3 linked regions of the Elephas maximus indicus genome follow. The protein of the gene in region 1 interacts with the protein of each later gene in a biochemical or structural test. Links are inferred from orthologs where the notes say so. Each region holds a gene or a part of one and is shown on either strand. Other genes may lie near its edges.

Region 1 (7,802 bases):
GGCTGAGAGCTGTGGGGACCATGGTCTTGGGGAACATCTAGCTCAGTTGGCATAACATAGTTTATAAAGAAGATGTTCTACACTCTACTTTGGTGAGTAGCATCTGGGGTCTTAAAAGCCTATGAGTGCCCATCTAAGATACTCCACTGGTCTTACCCCTTCAGGAGCAATGGAGAATGAAGAAAACTAAGGACACAAGGGAAAGATTAGTCCAAATGACTAATGGACCACAACTACCACAGCCTCCACCAGACTGAATCCAGTACAACTAGATGTACCTGGCTACCACCACTGACTACCCTGACAGGGATCAAAATAGAGGGTCCCAGACAGAGCTGGAGAATAATGTGGAACAAAATCCTAACTCACAAAAAAAACACCAGACTTACTGGCCTGACAGAGACTGGAGAAACCCCAAGAGTATGGCCCCCAGACATCCTTTGAAACTCAATAATGAAATCACTCCTGAGGTTCACCCCTCATCCAAAGATTAGGCAGGCCTACAAAACAAAATGAGACTAAAAGGGCACAACAGCCCAGGGACAAGGATGAGAAGGCTGAGGACTAGAGGGGACAGGAAAACTGGTAATAGGGAACCCAAGGTCAAGAAGGGAGAGTGCTGACACGTCGTGGGGTTGTTAACCAATGGCATAAAACACTATGTGTACTAAATGCTTAATGAGAAGCTAGTTTGTTCTGTAAACCTTCATCTAAAGTATAATAGATAAATAACAACAACAACAAAACTATATGGGATCAAATTGGCAAAAACAACTGGAAAGATTAGATAGGAAACTTAGGAGGCAGCGAGTTTATATTAACGGAGGAGGAATAATTCAGAAAAGAAGGATGACAATGGTTGCACAACTTGAGAAATAGAATCAAAGTCATGGAATTGTACATGTAGAAATTGTTGAACTGTTGTAGGTTCTGCTGTGTATATTCTCAACAACTACGAAAATAAATAATTAAAAATTTAAAAAGCTAAAACTATCATTGTACTTACCTACGGATTTGTAAAAAGCTACTATAGGTTAACTTTTACTTGTACTTCACCTCCAGAAAGTGTTCCCTAACTTCCCTATCCTGGTTAGCTCCTTCGACATCCTGGGATGCCCCTATTCCAACACCTGTTCTGCTGTTTTGTGATCCGTCTGGCTTTGGCCTAGCCTATGAGCTTCATGTGGGCAGAGATTGTGTCTTTCATGTCTGTTTCCCAATACATGCTAAATATTTTTAAAAAGCGGGAGGAAGGTGGCACAAATATCTAGACCATTCAATGTTCTGCCGAAAACCAGTAACAACAACAAAACAAAATCAAAAGTAAAAAAACTCTTGGCAAAAGACATAAAAATATAACCAAATCATCAGAAGGGAAAACTCATATTGCTAAAAGTATACAAAGAAATGCTCAAACTAATAAGCAGCAGAAAAATGCAAATTAAGACAAAAATAAGACTTTCCTTTAACTTTTCACATTGGGAAGTGTAGAAAAATGGAAAGTAATGGGACTGTAGGGAAAAGAGCAGTCCGATGTACTCTGTAGAGCTTACGCTGGTATAGCCCTTCTGGAAAGCAAGATGACAGGGCTTGTCAACTCAAGTTGGCACATAAATTTTGACACAGGTTTCCACTCCTGGGTATATCTCCAAGGTAAATTCTTACATGAGTCCGCAGGGCACAGATGTCTGAGGATGTTCACCGCATTGTTATTTATGGTAACAAGGAGATGAAGGCATCCAGGTGTCCTTTCCTGGGAATAAATGGACATACTCTCTGGCTACAAAGCAATTAAATTAGAAATTAACAACGAAAAATGATCAAATCAAAACACTACAAAAAGAACTATCTACATTTAGGTGGCTTTTTCAACCCATGGTGTTAGAATGACTTCTGGAAAAAAACTGAAATAGATCCTGACTATCTGTTTCAAAATAAATTGCAGCTGAATCAAAGACTTAAACCATAAAATTAAAGCACTGACGAAAAAATGGGGAGAATTTTTAAAAATAATTTTTCAGTTGTGAAAATATTTCTAAGTATAACACAAAATCTGGAAGCCATTAAAGAAAAGATTGATAAATTTTCATAAATAATTACTAAAATATTTGGTTAAAAACTGCCCTAAACAAACTAAAGGAATAAATACCCTGCACACTGGGGGAAAAAGGCAATATATATGAGAGAAAGGGGGCTGATTTTCTTAAAATAGAGATCCTATAGGGTATAAGTTAATTAAAAAAAAAAAAAGCTGTGAGGAGGCTTTTATTTTATCGGTCCTGGGTTTTTAGAGTCACTGCATGAGCTCATGGGCTAGAAACTTTGTCAGGTTAATATTTTCAAAAGAACATTTACAGTTGTATTTTTCTAATCATAAAAAATAGTAAAGTTAACAGTCCTTAGAGAAAGCACAAGGAAGTTTGAAGAAGAAAATAAAAACTACTTACAAACTTACCCTTCATAAGTAATTCCTTTGATCACATTTTAAGGGTTTTCTTTCCCATCTTATTAACATATAATTTTATGTGTACATATATTCATATATAAACATACACAAACTTAAATATTTTGCCATATAATGCATATATATTATATATCTGTTAAGTGATAAATCTGTATAAATATATTTATATTATAAAATATATGTTTTAGAATACTTATATTTCATATATTTATATCCAAAAGTATTTATATATAAATATATATTTACATGATACGTAAACATTTATAACATATATCCATATAATTATATCATCATATAAACATAAAAATATTTTTTTCTTGTATCATTTTACTGCAAGTCTATGAAGAAATTGTTAGTATCACCTCCATTTTACAACTGATTCCCTACAGATAACTCCCATGATTTCCTCGTACCCACTCAAACGGATCACCTCCATGGCCCCAAGACCACCAGATTCCACCCTCGGCAGCCTAGAAAACTCTAGAATCAAAGGCCTTCCTCCCAAAAAGCCCAGCGATCTTACCAAAGAGGCAAATCCTGGGGCCCTCACTGTGGCAGAGGCTTCTTCAGGACTCTCTTCAGTAGGCCGTGTGTTGAAAACAAGAGTAAAACTCAAACTGAAGACCTGAAGGAAGGCACAGCCCAGCTACATTTCCTGGTTGATGAAACCTCCTGAGTCACAGAGACTACACCAGGAGGGCTGGCCCCTGAGCAGGCTTCTAGACCTGCAAGAGAGGCTGAGTGTGTAGTGGAGAGAGCACTGGGCAGGGAGCCTCGTTGTCTGAGCTGTGGCTCTAGCTCTGTGCTTTTGGATGGGTCATTTTGCCTTTGGGCCCTCATTTCCACATCCCAAAATGAGAGAGTTGGGCTGGGTGGTAACTAAGAACACTTTCTTTCCATGTTCAAGGAATTTACAGATTTTTATGTCTTCATCATGAAAACTTTATTCTTTCAATAAATATTTATTGAGCACCTTTGATCTGGGCCCTGGGGCTCTGACCCTGGTGAACAAAACACAGAAACCCTCTGCCCTCATGTCACAACTCAGATGAAATGTTTTCTTTGATGTTAAAATTAGAAAGAGGAAAAAAAAAAACTCACTTTTTGAAACCGCCTGTTGTCTTTCTCAAAACAGAATGTAAGCTTTCAGAGGGCAGGGACACATCTTATAGTTGCAAGGATAAAATGAGGTGTCTAAAAGTGCCTCTTCACCTGTAGAGGGCTAGATATAGAAAAAAAAAAAAAAAGATATAGACAACATCGTAATATCGATGTCCTCAGCTAGCACTTGATTTTTTCCAGTAAACTCTAAGTGAAAACATAGCAATACCATGAAAACCTGCTAGTTAGTGGCTAACTCCAAACCCCAGGAATTATATCCTGATTTTTCCTGATGCTGCCCCAGCATCCTGAGCAGCCTCCATCTAGGACAGAGACATGAAACAGCTTCTCTCTCAGAGCCATCAGAAGGAATCAACACAGTTGATACCCTGATTTGGACTTTTAGCCTCCAAAACTGTGAGACAATAGATTTCTGTTCTTATAAGTCACCCAGTTTGTGGTACTTTGTTACAGCAGCCCTAGGAAACTAACACAGAGTTTAATACCAGGAAGTGGGGTGGTGTTGCTACAAATACTAAAATGTGGAAATGGCTTTGAAATTAGGTAATATGTAGAAGCCGGAAGAGCCTTGAAGTACTTAATAGCAAAAGACTAGATTGCCTTGAAGAGACTGTTGGTAGAATTAGGAACATTAAAGGTGATCCCGGTGAGAGCTCAGAAAAAATTGGGGAGAGCTGTAGAGACATCCTCTATCATCTCCTTGCTGTTGTTGTTAGTTGCCATCAAGTTGATTCCAACTCATAGTGATACCATGTGTGCAGAGTAGAACTGCTCTGTAGGGTTTTCAAGGCTGTGACCTTTCGGAAACAGATCACCGGGCCTGTTTTCTGAGGCGTCGCTGGGTGGCTTTTAACTGCCAACTTTTCAGCTAGTAGTCAAAAACTTAAGCATTTGCATCACCCAGGGACTCCCCCTATCATCTTAGTGAATACAAATATCATCATGAACAGAATGTTACTAGAAATGTGGATATTAAATGTGTTTCTGATGAGGGCTTAAAAGGAAATGATGAACATGTTATTGGATGCTGGAGGAAAGGCAATCCTTATTCTAAAGTGGCAAACTACTTGACTGAATTATATTCAAATGTTTTGTGGAAAGCAGAGCTCAGAAGTGATGAGCTTGGATATTTAGCTGAGAAGATTCCTAAGCAAAATTTTGACAGCATGGCCTGGTTTCTTCTTCCTGTTTATAGTAAAATGAAAGTGAAAGAGATAAATCAAGGATTGAACTATACAAAAAGGAACAAAAACTTGAAGAGCTGGAAAATTCTCAGCCTGTCCATATTGTAAAAATTGAGAGAATGTGCTCTGGAGAGAAGAAGAGTATGGCTGGACAACTGTTTGCTAAAGACATTAGGAATGTCACTTAATATTAGGATCCAGGGAGGTGGCCCAAGATGGCAGAATACTCAAGAAGCTTCCTGTGGTCTCTCTTACAATAAAGGCTTGGAAAAAGCAAGTGAATTGATTATATATGACAATCTAGGAGCCCTGATCATCAAAGACAAAGTTGAGGAATCAAACTGAGCGGCAGGGGGGAGAGAGAGAGACCGTTCAGAAGTAGCAAAGTGGCAGTAGTGAGGTAGCTGGCACCCTACAGGCCTGTTGGCCAGAGCACTTGAGCTGAGGCTAGCAGCACTCTGGACGCATTTCCCCATGTCGGGAGAGACCAGGCAGTGACAGTCAGTACAAGCCTCCAGAGCCAGAGGGAAATGACGCTGGACCTGCAAAAGTGCAGCATCAACCTACCCAGAGGGATCAAAATAACCTCTTCCCCTCCAGGATTTTCACAGCAGAGAACTGCTATTTTCCTCTCACCCAGCCCCCTCTCCGCTCTGCTCAGTCACCAGTCTAGCAGTATTTAACAAATGCCATGCCGCCTAAGCTGGAACTAAGGCCTCCCAAAGCCCAAATCAGTCTTCCAGCTTTAGGAAAAAAAAAAAATTATATATATATATTAGGATTCAATCAGCCTTCTTAATAGAAATGTCACCGGCTTAGACTGAAGGGGCTAAAGACAGGATGAAAAGAAGTAAAACTGTCCAACTCCTGGAATGCTACAGGCAGGAAATGGGCTGATGGTGCTGCTTGGCTGCAAACATTTGTTGCCCTTCAAGAAAAGGAAAAGATGATCCCCAGAGCAATTCAGAGGCCAGCAGGGCTGCCAGCACAGGTTTGGAGGGCTGGGCTGCCACCTTCCTGGTTACAGAGGGCAGAGCCGCCTGTTCAGTTCCAGGGAGATGGGCATCAGAGCAGAAAGACTTTTGCCTCATTACTGCTCCAATTCAGAACCAAAGCCACTGAATGAATGGCGGGTGAAAGACCAAGAATGAAGCAGGCAGTCATGAAAGAGTTATCAAGGGTTATTAACCATCCCGTAGTAGTTATTTTTCAGAAAAATCTACTGTTGCTACATTTTTGTTACAACTTTTACAGCACTTCACCATGATTGGTCTGATCCCCAGGTTTCTTGTCTTCTCCTGGCAGGAGGCCTAGGCACAGGTGCACTGACTCTGAATCTACCCACTATTTGACCTTCCTGGGTGACAGCAGTGAGCCATCGCCATTTTTTTAGGGCCGTGTGCAGTATTTTTAGAGCCCTGCACAAAAACCCATTCACTAAAATTATGCGTACTGTGAATGCATCGAAAGACTGAAGATCCTCCCCTCACTGTTCATGTACGTATGTTACTCCCTATAAAAGGAGCAAATCTGCCCTGGTTCAGGGAGCTGGCAGCCTTAGGTCACGAGACCCTGCTTGTCTCCCAGTTTGCAAACTGTGACTAAACCTTTCTATTCTTCCAACCCTGTGTCTGGCTGACTTCAATTCACTAGTTGGCCTGACAAGAACCTATTAGATGACGGCTTCAAGAAGAGGAAACAATCCCTTTCAACTGGAAGCCCTCTAATTATGAGTCATCCCTAGCTGCAGGTGACATGAAAGTTTTATATCTGGACTAGATTTTTAATAACTGAATATGAGCCACAACTATCTAAATAATATCTTTCTTACAACCAAAAGAGAGTCTAAAGCTATAGGATCTACCCTATGTCTAACCAGGGCCATCACTGAAGACTTGTACCATCACTGAAGATAGGGATGGGAGAAAAATGAAAGCCCTTCCTGTTTGTGGCTGGGTGAGTTCAGCCCAATCAATAAGTACTAGCTGTTTTTTTAATTTTTGTTTTGCACCTCTTAGTCCACCACCTTGGTCTACTGGAATCCTGCCCCACACCATTCCAATCTCCACCCACATTCCCAGGCTCTGAGCTGCACTCCAATCTCATGGTCTTCAGACCTCTCCTCAAGTCTTTATCTCTAATTCTTACTTCCCCTCCAGATAAACTAACTTTCCTTCTTGTCCCTCTGACATATCCCTCAAGTATAAGTGTCATTTACAGATTCTCTAACGCACATGGTCTCCTCTAATGTCTCCTTTGATTTGTTTTCTCCAATTCATTCCCTTTATCCACGTGATCTCATTTGGTCAGTGGAACCCCTACAAAATTATGGTTTGGAGTTGTTTTTCTCAGGCAAGTGGGAGTCTCCCTGCAGGAGGGCTGTGTTCAAACAGGAGATGCCTTGACCCTGGTTCTCCTCACAGACCGCAGCTTCCACCTGGAGCTCCCCTGTGGGGTCTGCCTGGTTGGTGCCCCTCCTTTCTCTCTAATACCTCAGTACCTTCACAAAGCCTTCCCTACCAAATAGAGGCAGTCACAGAAAAAAACTGGGAGGACGTACCTAACAGCAAAATGCTAACAGTGATAATCTTTAGATGGTTGGTTTATAGTCAATTTTTTTTTAATTATCTATATGTTAATATTTAACATCCTGCATTTATGTTCTAATGTATCCCAGATAGCTTGAAATCTAAATGTATTTGTGATCTGCAATCTAAATATATTTGTTTGCTAAACATATCTGTAATTGACATTTTCTTATCTATATTTTCTAATTTTTTTCAGTTACCATATATTCTTTTTGTAATAAAAAGTTTTAATTTAAAAGCATTTTATGTAAATATAGATTTTCATCACCCAGTTTCTGGTATCCTCTCTAAAGCCTATAGGCAGGTGGTCTTCATATTTTATTTAGGTTCATGAGCCCCCCCTAGATTTTTTGTTTGTTCACGGCATGATGGTTAATTTTGAAATCATGAAATTTTGAGGATATTCTTAATATACAGCACCCAAACCAGCATATATGATGCTTG
Region 2 (7,946 bases), on another chromosome or scaffold:
CTTCTGCCATCTGTGAAAAAGACAAAATGGACTGGGGTTGAAGAGAAAGACACACTGGACCCTGGGCCCTGAACAGAGCAGAAATCTGGCTGTGCATTCTTCCCTAACAGCCAAAAATCAGTCAGCCTCAGCTGCTGTTGTCCAGTTTATGACATCCGGTCAGAAGGATTAACAAAATATAAAGATGCTTGTCCATGTGTAGAAATTACTCAAAAACCACATTCTTAAAAAATGGTAATCTCTGAGGTAGGAAACTTAATTTTCCCACCTTCCCTTTTGTGGTATTCAAAATTCCCACCACGCACACGTATCATTTCTTTAAACTGATCTTGACTGATGTTGTTTCGTCTGTACTCTAAATTATGAAACAAATCCCAGGTGACCTATCATTTTCATCCACAGATGTTTCAGTACAGACCTCTAAAACACAAGACCCTTTAAAAATATTTAATATAATCACAACACTGTTACCAGACATAAAGAAAATTAGCAGTAATTTCTCAATACCAAAGCCAGAGTTCAAATTTCTAATTTGGGCAGTCTTTTAAAGAGTTGGTTTGACTCAGAACCCGACAAAGTTCCAGTCCTACATGTAGATGGTATCTTAAATCTCTATTCTAGAAGTTTCCCTTTCCCTCTGCCATTTATTCTTCGAAGAAACCAGGTCATTCGTCTTATAAAGTTTCCCAGATCCAGCTCCAAGGGGTTTTTCTGTCTGCTGCATTTCCTCTGAACTCTACGAGGGATGAACAGTTTAGGTTTGGTCTTTGGTGGAGCCGTATACTTCCTATTTTATCAGGTCGGGAGTCTGTGCCTTGCAATGTAACGTTTTTTTTTTTAAGAACCTGGAGAGACTTAGTCTTATTTGTAACTTCTTAATTTTAGTAAGGATGTGTTTCTGTACCACGTGTAATTAAAAATTCATTCCAAATCAACTCTTAACAGGTCCTCCGTCCATTAAAACAGAACATGGCTTCACCCTTCACAGGCTGAGTAATCCTCATGAGGCAATGCTAGTGAGACTAATTAGGAGGACAGAAGTCACCAACTCAGCAGCAATGTGATCCAGTGGTACAACTCTTCAGGATCCCACACTGCCATCCCCAGCACCCCAGGGACCTAAGGGTAGAAAGGAGGGCATGATTCCCAGAACCATAACTAGAGATAGACGGTCTTCTTCGGGGCACTCTGAAGACCAGAAGGCAGGACGCACAGGAAAGGAACTCAGCCAAATGTGACAAAGCAGAACAGCAACACGGTAGAAGGTTGGCAGTACTAAGCATAACCTCTGCCACCCCAACCCCAGACAATTTCTACCTGTTCCTGCCCGGTCCCAATTCCAGGGCCCACCAATTCTGTACACATAAGCTACCAGCCTCGGCAACAGACCGCCAGTCACCCTCCTGCTCGCTTGCTTGCTCCACAGGCCATACCTTTTCGGAGAAATGAAGGGAATGCAGAGAAGCAACACAGCAAAGACCTCTGCATAGAGGAAGGTGGCAACTGCGACCCACTGCAGACTCATCCTCTGCAGCTAGATGGTTTCCAATGAAGTAAGCACTTTCCTGACAGGGCAGAGAAGGAACAAGAGAAGCATGAGAGTTGGGTAGCCAGTGACAGCCAGTTCAAGGTCCCTGAGAGACTGGGACAGCCATTCTTTAACCTGTACCCTAGCGCCCTACTTCGGAGTCTTTGAAGCACTGGCTGGGACACAGCTCAGCTCAGCAGGGCGACTTGGCCAATACTGTTCCAGAGCCTAACAAACTTCCACTGGCTGGAATAAAGTCACTGCTGCCCTCTAGTATGTGTTCTAACATGTCCAGTGCCACCTTTCTTGATGACTGTTCGCCAAATGGGCCCCTTTCTCTGGGGAGTCCAAGAGACTCCTTATGCATGTTCGACTGCAAAAGCACTTTCAATAAAAAGCATTACACAAAACAGCAGAGCTGCTCAGACGGCCGTCGGGCACGCTCCTTTCCCAGCCAAGAGGAGCTCTGCTGCAGCTCCGGCACTGCAGTGTTCCAGGAACAGCACTTCCTCTCAAAGCTGCGTGGCGGCCCCCACCCCCGGGGGCAGTCTGGAGGCCCTATCCCCCAGCCCTCCCAAGAGGGCCTAGAGAAAAGCAGCAGCCCTCCCTGTGGGGCTGCACCAGCGGCCACTGAGAAGGCCAGGGCGAAAACAGCCTTGCAACTGCCGCTGCGGCCTCCGAGCGGGCCTGGATGACTCGCGGTGCCTCAGAAAAGCCCACAAGAGCGACTCCTAGAGGGCAGAAGCCAGGGCCAAGGGAAAACTCAGGTCTCCACTAAGCACCTCAGGGCCCCATGCAGAGAAAGTTCGAGAAGGATCACTCTTCTAGAAAGCCAGAGGTGCCCTCCCTGGCAAACTACGGTAGCTCTGCTCTTGCCCACCGCAAGCTCAGAAACCTTTCCACTTGGGCCGCGCTACCCCAGGGGCTCCGCCATGGCCCGGGCCGCAAGCTCTCTCCGCCGACTCGGCGCCTCAACCCACTCGCGGCTCCACTTCCCACCGTGACGGCTCCTCACGAGGGCTCGCCGCCGCCCGCCCGCGCCCTGAGCCGGGCTCCGCCCGCGGACGCCGCCCCGCCGCCCCGCCGCCCCGCCGCCCCGCCGCCCCGACTCCCTTAGCCTGGCCCGCAGGCTCTACGCCCTGGCTCGCGACGCGCCCCGCAGCCCCGGCCCCCGGGCCTCTCTCCGCTAGCTACCAGCCCCGCTGCACCCGTCGAGGTGCCTGAGGACCTCAGCGCACACACCAGCGCGCAGGCCGCTGGCCGAATTTCACCTCAGCCACGACGCACGCGCTGCCGCCGCAGCCGCCGCCGAACCCTCCCTCCACAGCCGCAAGTCCCGCCCCTTCCCCCGCGGCCGGAAGCCGGAAGTGGCCCCGCCGGCCACGCCCTTCCCAGCCCGCCCACCAACCGTGGCGAGGCCCGGGCGGCTCCCCCCACGGCCACTGCCCACCACCCCCCCAGCTGAGGGCAGGGCGCCGAGGCCCGGGCGGGGCGGGCAGCCGGCGGCCCCGAGGCAACGCGGTTTCGCGGCGCGCGCGGAGCGGGGCGGGGCCTTGGCGGGAAGGCGAAGGCCGCTCCTCCAGTCCGCGTGGCCCTCCAGGTCTCTGTGGCGGGGAGGAGGCGGGGAGGAGGCGGGGCCTTCCCGTGGGGCGAGAACGGGGTGCGGAGCCCTGCGCCCGGGCTCCGCCTCCCGCTCCTCCTCCGCCTCCTCCCCTTCCCTGACTCGCCCCTGGGGAGGGGTGGGTGGGTGGGGATTATGGGCCAGTGGCGGAGTCACTGTCGCTTCAGCCAGGCTGTGGAGCGGACGTACGCGCCTGGTACCCCGGGCGGGGGCTCCACTTGGGTAGGAGGAGGTGGAGGGGAAGAGAAGTCCTCCCTGCCCTCAACCTTTCAAAGCTCTGACACCAAGGGCTAGGAGACTGACACAGAGGGGAGCTAAGGTCTTCCTGCTCAGCTGCCTGAAGAGGCCAAGACACTGGAGGGCCCTGAGCCCACCGCACCAGGGGCCCCAGCAGCGCCTCAGTTGCCTAAAGCAACAATTTCAGTGACCAGTGCAAGGCCTCCAGTTGCCTAGACAACGAGCCCGGGGTCAGAGCAAGGACCCTTCCAGCCACCTGCCTGGACTGCAGTCTCAGGCACTAGTCCCAGCCCAGCGGGTGCCAACCAGGTGACATGCCGGTGCTCTCCACCCCCCGGCCTTCGAGGGTGACCACGCTGAAGCGCACAGCCGTGGTCCTGGCCCTCACCGCCTATGGAGCCCACAAAATCTACCCCCTGGTGCGGCAGTGCCTGGGTCCAGCAAGGGGCCCTCCAGGGCCAGCAGGGGAGCCCGCGCAGGAGGCCTCCGGGGCAGCAGCCACAGCAGCCAAGGCCAGCGTGAACCGGGTGTTCCTGCAACGACTCCTGTGGCTCCTGCGCCTGCTCTTTCCCCGGGTCCTGTGCCGGGAGACCGGGCTCCTGGCGCTGCACTCGGCTGCCCTGGTGAGCCGGACTTTCCTGTCGGTCTATGTGGCCCGCCTGGATGGACGTTTGGCCCGCTGCATCGTCCGCAAGGACCCACGGGCCTTCGGCTGGCAGCTCCTCCAGTGGCTCCTCATCGCCCTACCTGCCACTTTCATCAACAGTGCCATCCGCTACCTGGAGGGCCAGCTGGCCCTGTCCTTCCGCAGCCGTCTGGTGGCCCACGCCTACAGCCTCTATTTCTCCCAGCAGACCTACTACCGAGTCAGCAACATGGACGGGCGCCTTCGCAACCCTGACCAGTCCCTGACAGAGGACTTGGTAGCCTTTGCTGCCTCTGTGGCTCACCTCTACTCCAACCTGACCAAGCCGCTCCTGGACGTGGCTGTGACCTCCTACACCCTGCTTCGGGCAGCCCGCTCCCGCGGAGCTGGCACAGCCTGGCCCTCGGCCATTGCTGGCCTCGTGGTATTCCTCACCGCCAACGTGCTGCGGGCCTTCTCACCCAAGTTCGGGGAGCTAGTGGCAGAGGAGGCGCGGAGGAAGGGGGAGCTGCGCTACATGCACTCTCGTGTGGTGGCCAACTCGGAGGAGATCGCTTTCTACGGGGGCCACGAGGTGGGGCAGGTTGGGGCGCTGGGAGGCATGAGGAAGGCCTGGGGTGGGGGCACAGCGTGGATGCAAGAGGGGGCTGAGAACAGACAGGGCCCTGGGCTGCAGAAATGGAGAAGCAGGAAGACTGGTGGGGGTTGCCTGGTCCCAGCCGCCTGCACACTCCAGGCCACTTCTGCTTCCTCCCTCCTGGGCAGCACCGCTGGCCTTGGGCTGTGGATCCTAGCGGTTCGGATTCAGAGCTCCCACCTTGCGCACTCCAGCAGACCACTGGGAGCGGGACGAGTGGATGCACGGCCTCCTGGCCAGCCCTTCGGCCCTTTGAAGGCCGGCCTAGGGCCCGCGTCTGGCAGCTGGGCATTATGGGCATGACTCAGCCCACGCGGAGATTAACAAGCAGCGCCCAGCGTGGCAGTCGCAGCGCTTAGGGTCACAGCCGCCCCCAAGGGCCCACTGGCCCGGCCGTCGCTGCAGCGGGACGCACTTCCTGCCAGCCTGCCCCAGCGTGACCGCCCTTCCGCCCGGCCCCCAGGCACAGCTTCCTGGGCGGCCAGCCTGAGGGGGGGCGCAGCAAGGTTACTCCCGGCCAGCACTCCCTTTATCTCGCCTCGCCCCTCCCCTTCCTCGTGCCTGGGGTTGCAGCTGCCTCAGGCCCTGCTCCCTGCGACTCTGGTTTCGGTTCTCCTGGGGGGAGGGGCACGATGGCCTCTGCTCCCTGAAGGCCTGCATGTGTTCCCAGGACCCCGACCTTGTCTTGGTGGCTTTGCACTGGGCACAGGAGCAGACTTCTCCTGGACCAAAACGGCCTGTCGTCAACCTTCTCCGCAGGGAGGGGCGTCCTGGGCCAGGAGCTGGCTGCTGATCAGGGGAACAAGTGCCCAACACTGGGCTGTGATCCCCTCTGCCCGATCCTCCTCTCCTGCATGCAGGCTGGCAGCGCCTTGGCAGGCAGCTGTGGCCTTGGGTGAGGTGCTTGGCACATTCCCCGTGGCTACATTATCAGCTCTGGCTGGCACACTTGCCAGCTCACAGTGCAAGTCCAGATTGCCAGGGTGCTCGGAAGATGCGGGCTCGATGCGGGCTCGTTTCAGGAACGGGAGACTTGGCCCGAGGCCCTGGGTGGGGGTAGGCAGGAGAGACATTTGAAGGACTTCCCCTTGGCCAGCTTCAATACATAGAGGCCACCCAGGAGGTCTGCTTGCCTGGGTGGATGAGGAGCTGGGTGGGGGAGGGAGAGGAGGGGGTGACGGGCCACAGGGTGGGCTGAATGCGCTGGCTGTGCAGACATATGTCGCACCCCAACCTCACTGGCTGATGTCCCCACGGACACTGGCCCAGGCTCAGATCTCCAGGTAGGGCAAAAGCGACTGGCTGGCTAGTGGAGGGCTCTATAGCAGAGCATTCTGTTTTTATTGGAATTCCCATGGAGGGGTCATTTCCACACACACACACCCTCTTATTTACTTGGGAACAATTAAAAGAATCTTATTCTCCTAAGGACTCTGGCAACCAAGAACCAAACCCATTGCCAACTCATAGTGACCGAGGAGCACCTGGTCAATTCAAACTGCCGACCTTTTGGTTCATGTAGCTCTTAACTACTATGCCACCAGGGTTTTCAAGGGCTTTGGCAGCGTGATTCAAATTCCAGCAGTGCTTGCTACCTCCATGCTGTGTGACCTTGGGCAGGGCACTTTGCCTCTCTGGGCTTCATTGGCCTACTGTACAATGAGCACATTCGATGAGGCGGTGCGAGAATCAAATGGAGAGCCTAGTGCGAAAGCACTTGGCAAAAGGAGCCAGTCTGGGCAGTCGGTTGGGTGTGGAAAGGCCAGGCTGGGCGTCCAGAGGGTCCCTGTACTGAGCCAAGAAGTCCACAACCCAATGGCCCCCTTTGCCGTCACCACTTCTGGAGACCTCCATGTCTCCACAGTCTGTTGGTCTGCTGCTGCCACAAGGAACCCTCTTCCTCTCTCCACCCTCTCTCTTTTTTGGGCCCTGCAGGACCCATCCACCAAGGCCCCTCCCCCCCACCCTGTCCCCACCCTGATATGGCAGGTGGTAGCCAATGGAGGAATGGGAGGGGAGGCTCCACACCACTGTGGAGCCAGCGGGCTGGAGCCGGAAGCTGGCCTGAGGCAGAGGGCTGTGGGCTTGGGGCAGTCCAACATGGAGCAAGGCCAGAGGGACTGGCTGTGAAGCGCGCCCTCGTGGTTTCTGTGGGAAAATGCAGTATAAGTTCTCACTACAAGGAACTTTGGAAAAGTAGACTGGCAGGGCAGTGCCTAGGGAGGGAGAGACTGGGCTCAGTGTTCTCAAAACCAAGGTGCTACCAGTGCCACTGCTTTCGGTCTCCGTGCCTGGGAACCAGGGCCAGGAGGAGGGTGTTGGGACGGAGGCCCCCAAATGATTGCCCAGAGTATGGGCTCCACAGAGGCTAGAAGCTGCCCAGAGCAAAGAAGGGAGCGTTGAGCGCCCCAGCCCCAGTCAGGGTGAGTTCCTTTGTCACTGCTGCTGTGCCCCAGTGCTAGAAACTTGGGCAAGCCCCTGCCGCTGGTTTCAGACCCGTCCTCTGTAAACACAGCCCTGTTGTAAGCCTTGTCAGACCATTGAGTGGTGTGGCCTGTGTGAGCAGTGCTCTGGGTCCTCTGGGTTGTCGCCCAGCCCGGCCATTCTCACCAGGCCGCTGGCTCTCTGGTGGCCCGCAGGTAGAGCTGGCCCTGCTGCGGCACTCCTACCAGGACCTGGCCTCACAGATCAACCTCATCCTGCTGGAGCGCCTGTGGTACGTCATGCTGGAGCAGTTCCTCATGAAGTATGTATGGAGCGCCTCAGGCCTGCTCATGGTGGCTGTACCCATCATTACCGCCACTGGCTACTCGGAGTCAGGTGAGAGCCAGACCCTGGGCCACGGGCTAGTCCTCCAGTCAGCTCCTCAGTGTCCTTCCCCCTGCGTGTGCCTCGCCTTCATAGCGCTGCTCATAGCCATGCCCAGGGACTGCACTTCAGGGTGTCCCTTCACCACCCACGTGCACCCTCGTTCACATGTCCCTGCCCTTGAACCTGCTGCCACTTGAACGCGGGGAGACAGAGAGTAGAGCAGCATCCACTAGTGTGCCTTTGATTCTCCATCCGTAGGTTGCAAAGGGAAGTGATTTGGCCAGAAGGCCTTGCGGGAGGGGGAAGCCTGACCTGCCTCTTGTCTTAGCCGTTCAGGTTTCTTTATTTTCATTTTGTCTCTCTACTGATCTGAAAGGTATACGTTCTCCTTTTAGTCTTTAGCAGTTACTGTTCAAACGTCACCACGCATCATTGAAAAGAGGCTTAGGTTAATCGATAGCTCCCC
Region 3 (7,112 bases), on another chromosome or scaffold:
AATGTTGGTGTCTGAAACACTGCCAGGTACCAAGAGACTAACACTCCAATAAACAGAGTCCTGATCCTGCAGGCTCATCTGGTTCCATTTGAGATCCTAACATGTGGGTCCCTCTCTAGAGTTTTCCAAGAAAAATTATTGACTCTGATGAACTGCTTTATTTCCTGAGAGTTATAGTTTTTGTTTTTTTTCTTTAGGGAGGTCCAAGTCAGCCAAGGGCCACCTGACAGTCTATATGTATCTACAGAATTTCCTCTTGATTGGCTGTTCTCTAAAGGTTCCACTTGCAAGCAAAGCCTAGTCTCACCCCAACCAGGGATGATATTTGTATGTTTATGGGAGAACTAATAGGTATTTGGCTCTCTCAGAAGCCTTCAGAGCAAATTCATATGGAAGAACTAAAAAAGGGTGATTTTTAAAAACAACATAGAAAATCTTATAGATGGTTAAGAATAAAGAGCTTTCTTGCTGGTGGGACTAGGAAAACGTAACCAAATATCTGAGAGTCAGAATTCCATATTATGTTTTCAAAAGAAAGATTCCAGGAACTCTTAACAACTAGAACAAAGAGTAAACTAAAGGCAAAACTTTCCCATGGAAGGTGCCCCAGCAACACTCCAAAGGCAACAGTTAGCAGACATTGTACTGGCGTACAATGTTCCATATGTTAAAAATGTTTCTCCCAGAGCTGACCAAGATTAAGATAATAACAAACCAAAGCTGGAGGTTTGCCCCAAGACACCTCATTTCCCCTCTCCTTTCCACCTATCTCCAGTTACCTAAGAAGACAGTAACTGTAACAGATCTTCTCTGTGCTTTATGCACTCAGCTGGGTAGGTGAAAATTCATTTTGCCTGGAGCCTACCCCATTCCTGGGCTCAACCCCACTGCATTTCTCATGCCATTTCCTTTCCCTTCCATTGTCTGAAAACAATAAAAAGTTCCAGACTTACCTCTGCAAGAAACTTAATTTCCCAGGCCTCTTCCTAGCACAAGGTTCAAATCCAGCAGCAAAAAAATAAATAAATAAAATAAGGGAGGGGGAAAAAGTCAATTTTCAAGCTTTGCTTTGAAACCTCAAAGCCCCAAAAAGTTAGTCAATCTCAGCTGCAAAAATACAGACAAGCCTAAAGCCATTTCTACTGAAATGATCTACTTTAAGCTAAATGAGAGAACTCACATCAAAAAAAAAAAAAAAAAAAAAACACACCAGGCTTCCCTAACTCTCTACTAACCTTCATAAAACAATACCAGCTTCAAGAATTTCCATTCTTAATGGCATGTGGCAAGAAAGGTCCCAAATTCAACAACTTCTGGAAAAACCAATTACTTTCTGAACCCTTCTCACCTTCCCCCGGATTCCTTATAATATCCATCTATCTTGTTACAATGTTAATGTTTACTTTCATCTTCCTCAGAGAGAACTAGGAGGAAGGTGGCTACAGCCAAAGAAGTCACTTTCTTCCCATCAGGCCAAGAATTATCTTCCAAATTTGCCCCTCCCCTTACGTACCACACAGAAACCCTGGTGGCGTAGTGGTTAAATGCTACAGCTGCTAACCAAAAGGTCGGCAGTTTGAATCCGCCAGGCGCTCCTTGGAAACTCTATGGGGCAGTTCCACTCCGTCCCATAGGGTCGCTACGAGTCGGAATCGACTCGACGGCAGTGAGTTTGGTTTTGGTTTTTACGTACCACACAGGGAGAACAAAATATCCACTGGGCGGCATCCACTGATACATCCACATTTCACCAGAAAACTTTATATGTGCACACTGACCCCTCCCTCCTAGCACTTTAACAGTAAAAGAAGGGTCTGGAAACTAAATCACTCATTGAATTAGCCTGGATGCCATCCTGCCTCTTCTGTTCCCCTCTTCAGCCTTAAAGAGCCTCCAACAGAGTCATAGCTGTTTCCCCATTCTTACTTACTAACTGCTAAAACTAGAAAAGTCCTTTACTTCTTCCATACTGTCGACACCAGCTTCCCCATTCCCCCCCCCCCTTTTCTTCGTAACCAGGAAAAACAAGGGAGCAATAAACTAGGGAGCCTCTGGTAAGCAAATCCAATTGAACCCTCATCCAAGCCCAATTTTCCAAACTCACATGACCATTTCCTTCTGCCTTCCCACCCTATTAAAAGCTAAAGGCCTGGCAATTAGAATTGGCTACAAGTGATGCTGCTTAACTCCGTCCTTTCTTTTCCACAGGGGAAAGGGAAACCCCTGAACCTCTGTCACCCGTAGAGCTCCACTGTCCTGTCTCCCATCCCATTCCTCTTCCTTCCAAACTTTCCTCCCAGTCCCTCACTTTCTCCATTACCTCGTCACACCGACACTCTGCATTCCCCAAACCTCTGTTCTCTTCCTTTCTACCCAAATTCTGCCCTAAACCCTTCCCCTCCCCCCAATTTAACACTTTCAAAACCTTCCCCCAAACGTCTGAGGTCCCATTCTCACCTTTTCCACCTCTACACAACACCCCCCCACACACACGAGTCCTGTCCACCTTCCAACCACATGCCACAAGCCCCCTTCCCCTTCTCACCCTCAGCCTCTCCCCTCCGCTCCTACCCCCCTCAATCCATCCGGATCGCAGCCCCACTCCCCACCTCGGCCTCTCTTATACCCCTAGCCCGGCCCAGCCTCGGCCCTTGTTTACGCCCCTCTTCACGTCCCCACTCCTCCACTTCGACCCCTGCCCTCTCCCACAGTTGCCATCTCCCCCGCACGCCCCCCTCGGCTGCTCCCCTCCCCCACCTCGCAGCGTCCCGTCACCTCCTCCTCTTGAGGTTCTCAGGCTGGACGTCGCCACCGCCTCCCCCTCCACTTTCCTTCCCCAAGCCCTTTGCGGCCCCGCCCGGCCCCGCCCCGTCCCGCTCGACTCCCCCTCCCCACTCCGGCCGCCCCGTCGCCTCACTCTCGGCTCAGGCTCGGCGCCGCCATGTTGGATTCATCCGCGCCGCTCTCCCGGGCCTGGCTCACGGCGCCGCATCCGGGCTCCAGCCGCCGCCGCCGCCGCCGCGGGCGTGGGGGAGGGGAGAGACGGGCGGGGGTGGCTGCATCCTGAACAGCGCCGCCCGGAACCTGGCCGGTTAGTGGCGGCTTCGAGACCATAGTGAGAAATGAGCCGGGGTAGCCATACTAGGTGAGGGCAGCCTGGCAGCGGCATTAAACGGGGAGTGGAGAGCTTCACTTTGGGAGGAGAGAATAGAGAATGGCAGCCATCTTGCTTTGGGGCAAGCTGGCAACGCAGGCTTTTCTTGACGGCTTCAGGGCCGTAGCAAGGAATGGGAAGAGGGTACCATTCTTAAGTGTGGAAAGATTGGTGGCGCCAGAGCAGGCTGCTGTTGACTTCAGGACTCATTGAGAGACTGGGACTGGCAGCCGTGACTCAAAAGGATGGAATAGCTCGGGGGTCGGGTTGACCCGCGATCTTTCGGGGGAGGTTCAAGATCTGGATTTGACCTTTGTGTTGAACTTCCTGGTAACCCGGACATTCCGTAAACCTGGGCCCGGTGTTGAAAGGGCTGCTCGTATCCGGTCTCAGATTTCATTCTTTCAGCGTTTGTCTTTTGAGCTCTCTGTTTCCAAAGGAGGTGTCGCCTGAGCTGAATCCTGAAGGACTATTGGGAATTGGGAGGCTGGGTACGTTCTGGAGCTGCCAGCAGCCTGGTATGGCTAAAAGAAAGGTAATAAATGAAACCTGTTAGATAGGCAGGGGCAGATCACGCAAGGATTTGTAAATTAATTGACTTCTTTCTAAGGGCAATGAAGAGTCTGAAGGAACTCCGCAAAAATGTGAACAATTATGTTTGCATTTTAGAAACATAGTTGGTTGTCTTGTTTGGGGTGATGTTAGGAGCAAGGAGAACAATTGGGAAGTTCCTATCCAGGCGGGAGATGACAGTGGTCTGACCTAGAGAAGGCGTAGTGCGAATGGGGAGAAATAGATTGGATTTGGGGAGTATGAGGCAGAGGGAGGAGCTCAAGATGATTCCCAGTGTTCTGGATTGAAAAACTGAGAATAATGCCATTTTTTGTTTGTTTGTTTTGGGGAAAAGAGTCACTTTTTGCACATGTGGAGTTTGAGGTGCCTGTGGGACATCCAAAAGAGATATCCATTAGACAGTTGAATCTTAGATAACGTGGGTTTAGGACCCAAAAGAGATTTGGGGTGTTTCTGTGTGTGTGTGGATGACAGTTGAAGCCATGGGAGTAGATAAGACGGTCTAGAAGGAGGAATACCTGCATTTGATATATGAGTTAGAGAAAGACGCTGAAAAGAGGGCACTGAGAAGGGGCAAATAGAAAGGAAAACCAGGAGGGAAGTATCAAGGAAGCTGGTTAAAATGTAACAGATCAGGTAAGATATGGGCTAAAATGTGTCCATTGGAGTTTGCAACGTTTGGTAATTTTGGAGAAAGTTGTTTCAGAGATATGGTAGGGTGGAAAGGAGGTTGAGGTTACTTGAGTGGCTGGAAAGGCATAATATATGAAGACAATTTTTTTAAGCTGCTGACTGTAAGGAGGCTAGCGATAGGATTGTAGAGTGAGGAGGAATTCCAAGAGAGGGAAGGCATTTTAGGTGCCTGTGGGACACCCAGGTGGAGATGTCCAAAAGAGGCAGTTGAATATACAGATTTAAAACTTATGAGAAAAAAATATTAAATGTAAAGAAAAGCAATTGCTGTAAAGTAAATGTGGCATGTTTACATACACATTGAAAAATTACAAAGTGGGCCTTAGGCGGCATGAAACTATACTTTTTCTTTATTTTAGGTCCATCTGTACTGTCCTGAAATTTGTTTTATTGTGTCGATGTATTTCTTTTATAGAAAAGTATTTTTTAAAAACTCCAGTGATGTCTAGGCCAAAATTCTGAATCATCAATATTTCTGTGGTAACTGAAGCCATAGATTTGGACAGGCTCTACAGAGAAGAGCAGAGGGTTAAGAAGAGTGCTTTCGGGGATTGTAACATTTAAGGCACTTGGAGGACCTTTGAAATGCAACAGCCAATGAGGAAGAACAAAAACTGGGAGATAATTATAGAGTCAGAAGTAAGATTGTGTTACAAGAAGGTAGAAGTTGTCAAAAGTGTCAGATATTCCTAGAAAGGCAGGTAACAAGAAAGGAACTTTTACGTCTGGACTTAGGTTTACTGAACATCAGGGAAGCTCAGCACAAAGGTCAAATCCAGATCGTGGACTTTTCTCCAAGTGTCACAAGACAATCCAGCTACTGTGCTATTCCACCCTTTTGTGTCATGGCTGCCAGTCCCAGTCTCCCACTGAATCCTGAAGTGAGCAGCAGCCTGCTCTGGCACCACCAGTCTTTCCACACTGAAGAATGCTACCCTCTTCCCATTCCTTACTATAGCCACCGAGAAAAACCTGCATTGCCAGAAATTGTGAAGTTAAGGAATTGAAAGTAGGAGTATGAGTTGAAGCTGAGGAGGTCAAGAACTAGGTGTCGCATAGATTCTTCTAAAACAACCCTGGATGACAGAAGAGTTGGCACAAAGAGAGGCTGTTTAATAGGTGCAGTCCTCAGTAAGTATGAGAGCTAAAGAGCCAGATGGCATAAGATTCAAAGGATGAAGAGTTTTTGCAAAAGGATGTGAATGAATAATTTCTTTTGTAAGGATCAGCACAAAGCTGGCTCCTATGTGAAGCGGAGGTTAAAGATGTCCCAAATGTCCAACTTTTCCAAACTGCTGTACCACTCCATCATCTGTAACGTTGACTATACTCCTCCTCTTGGTACAGTCCCTCCTGTCTTTGAGTTCCACAATTCACTGCAATGTCTCACAGAACTCATGAACCATCAAGGAAATGGTCCACACGGTTGTAGAGGCTGGCAGTTCCCAAATCTGTGGATAAGCTATCAGGCTGTTGGCTTCTCCTGACTCACATGGCTGCAGGGGCCTATGAACCCAAATCAGCAGGTCAGACAATAAGCTGCTTGCTCACAAGACCTGGCAAATCAGGTCAGATGATAGGCTGCTGGCTCAAGTCCAAGAACCAGAGGTCAGATGATGACAAGCCAGATGCAGGATCCAGAGCAAGAGAGAAAGTTTAGCCATTCATATATATATTGGATCCAGACCATACCCTCAAGGAAACTCCCCTTAGCATGGTGGTACAAGGGTGTGACTTGAGTCACACCCTCTAGTAAGGCAGTGACTCAAGATACATCCCACCCTAATACTGCCTCATTAACATAATGGGCAGCTGACTCCCAAATGGGACCATAGCCACAGGCATAGAGGCTAGGATTTATAACATATTACGAAATGGAGGATAATTACATCAGATCACAGATTACATCAGAAGAGGGTAGCTACTTCAGACCACAAAATGGAGGATAACTACATCATTACGTAACTGCCAAATTATATCATTACACAACTGCTGAACCACTAAAAATCATGGCCCAGCCAAGTTCACACATAACCTTAACCATCACAGGTTCCATATACTTTATTTACTTAAGCAGTAACTGTCCAGTCACCTTGGTGGGCCAGGTAAAAATGGCGTGGAGGGGGTGCAGCATCTGACCTCTAAATTACAAAGGGAAGGAGAATCAAAGTCAAAGCTGATACCTATGAGACAAAGGCCAGACATGTCTCCTCTCTCCACCATCTTTACTAATTCTAATACCAACTGCCCTTCCCATGGCACTCTCTACTTCTCTGCTGGGTTTGATAATTCATTGCAATAGTTGCACAGAACTCACAGACAATACTCATGATTATGGAGTTTATAAGGGAAGTAACAGGTTACAATTCAGGTTCAGGGATGCCCAGGATATAGTTTTTCCATCAGGATAGCCTCTTCCCAGCCGTGCCCACAGGCATGCTTCTCTGTGGTCCCTCAGCCTCTGCCCTGCTTGGGCAAGTGTTACAAAGCTCTTTTAGCTTTGCCAATAAGTGCTCAAAGGCAACCAACTCCACCAATGAGCCTTGGCTGGAAGGCACTCAGCTTTAGTTCCATGCGTCAGCAAACCTAACTCTACCAAGTGCCCAGAGGCACCCTACTTCAGCAAGCCTCCTGCCCAAAGGCACTCAGCTTTCTTGCTCCGTGAGCAGGGAAGCCCACTGCACCATCTGTT

The links. The genes of interacting proteins can lie anywhere in the genome.
Region 2: of the proteins of caspase-8-like (region 1) and BCAP31, one has a biochemical effect on the other in vitro, tested with the Homo sapiens proteins (2 studies listed by BioGRID, with this or other methods). The link is inferred for Elephas maximus indicus from reciprocal best matches to the Homo sapiens genes CASP8 and BCAP31.
Region 3: the proteins of caspase-8-like (region 1) and DEDD form a complex in vitro, tested with the Homo sapiens proteins (2 studies listed by BioGRID). The link is inferred for Elephas maximus indicus from reciprocal best matches to the Homo sapiens genes CASP8 and DEDD.

The regions. Positions count from the first base shown.
Region 1 is NC_064824.1:100,030,262-100,038,063, reverse strand, and holds the start of caspase-8-like, read right to left. Parts: upstream 3,006-7,802; 5' UTR 2,988-3,005; intron 1-2,987. UniProt on the Homo sapiens protein: Thiol protease that plays a key role in programmed cell death by acting as a molecular switch for apoptosis, necroptosis and pyroptosis, and is required to prevent tissue damage during embryonic development and adulthood.
Region 2 is NC_064846.1:2,631,932-2,639,877, reverse strand, and holds the start of BCAP31 (B-cell receptor-associated protein 31), read right to left. Parts: upstream 3,013-7,946; 5' UTR 2,937-3,012; intron 2,878-2,936; exon of another isoform or gene 2,723-2,877; intron 2,412-2,722; exon of another isoform or gene 1,933-2,411; intron 1,566-1,932; 5' UTR 1,526-1,565; coding exon 1,434-1,525; intron 11-1,433; coding exon 1-10. Other genes in the region: ABCD1 (ATP-binding cassette sub-family D member 1), read left to right, coding at 3,701-4,606, 7,309-7,489. UniProt on the Homo sapiens protein: Functions as a chaperone protein. Is one of the most abundant endoplasmic reticulum (ER) proteins.
Region 3 is NC_064821.1:199,942,047-199,949,158, forward strand, and holds the start of DEDD (death effector domain-containing protein), read right to left. Parts: upstream 3,013-7,112; 5' UTR 2,918-3,012; intron 2,834-2,917; exon of another isoform or gene 2,758-2,833; intron 987-2,757; 5' UTR 954-986; intron 1-953. UniProt on the Homo sapiens protein: A scaffold protein that directs CASP3 to certain substrates and facilitates their ordered degradation during apoptosis. May also play a role in mediating CASP3 cleavage of KRT18. Regulates degradation of intermediate filaments during apoptosis.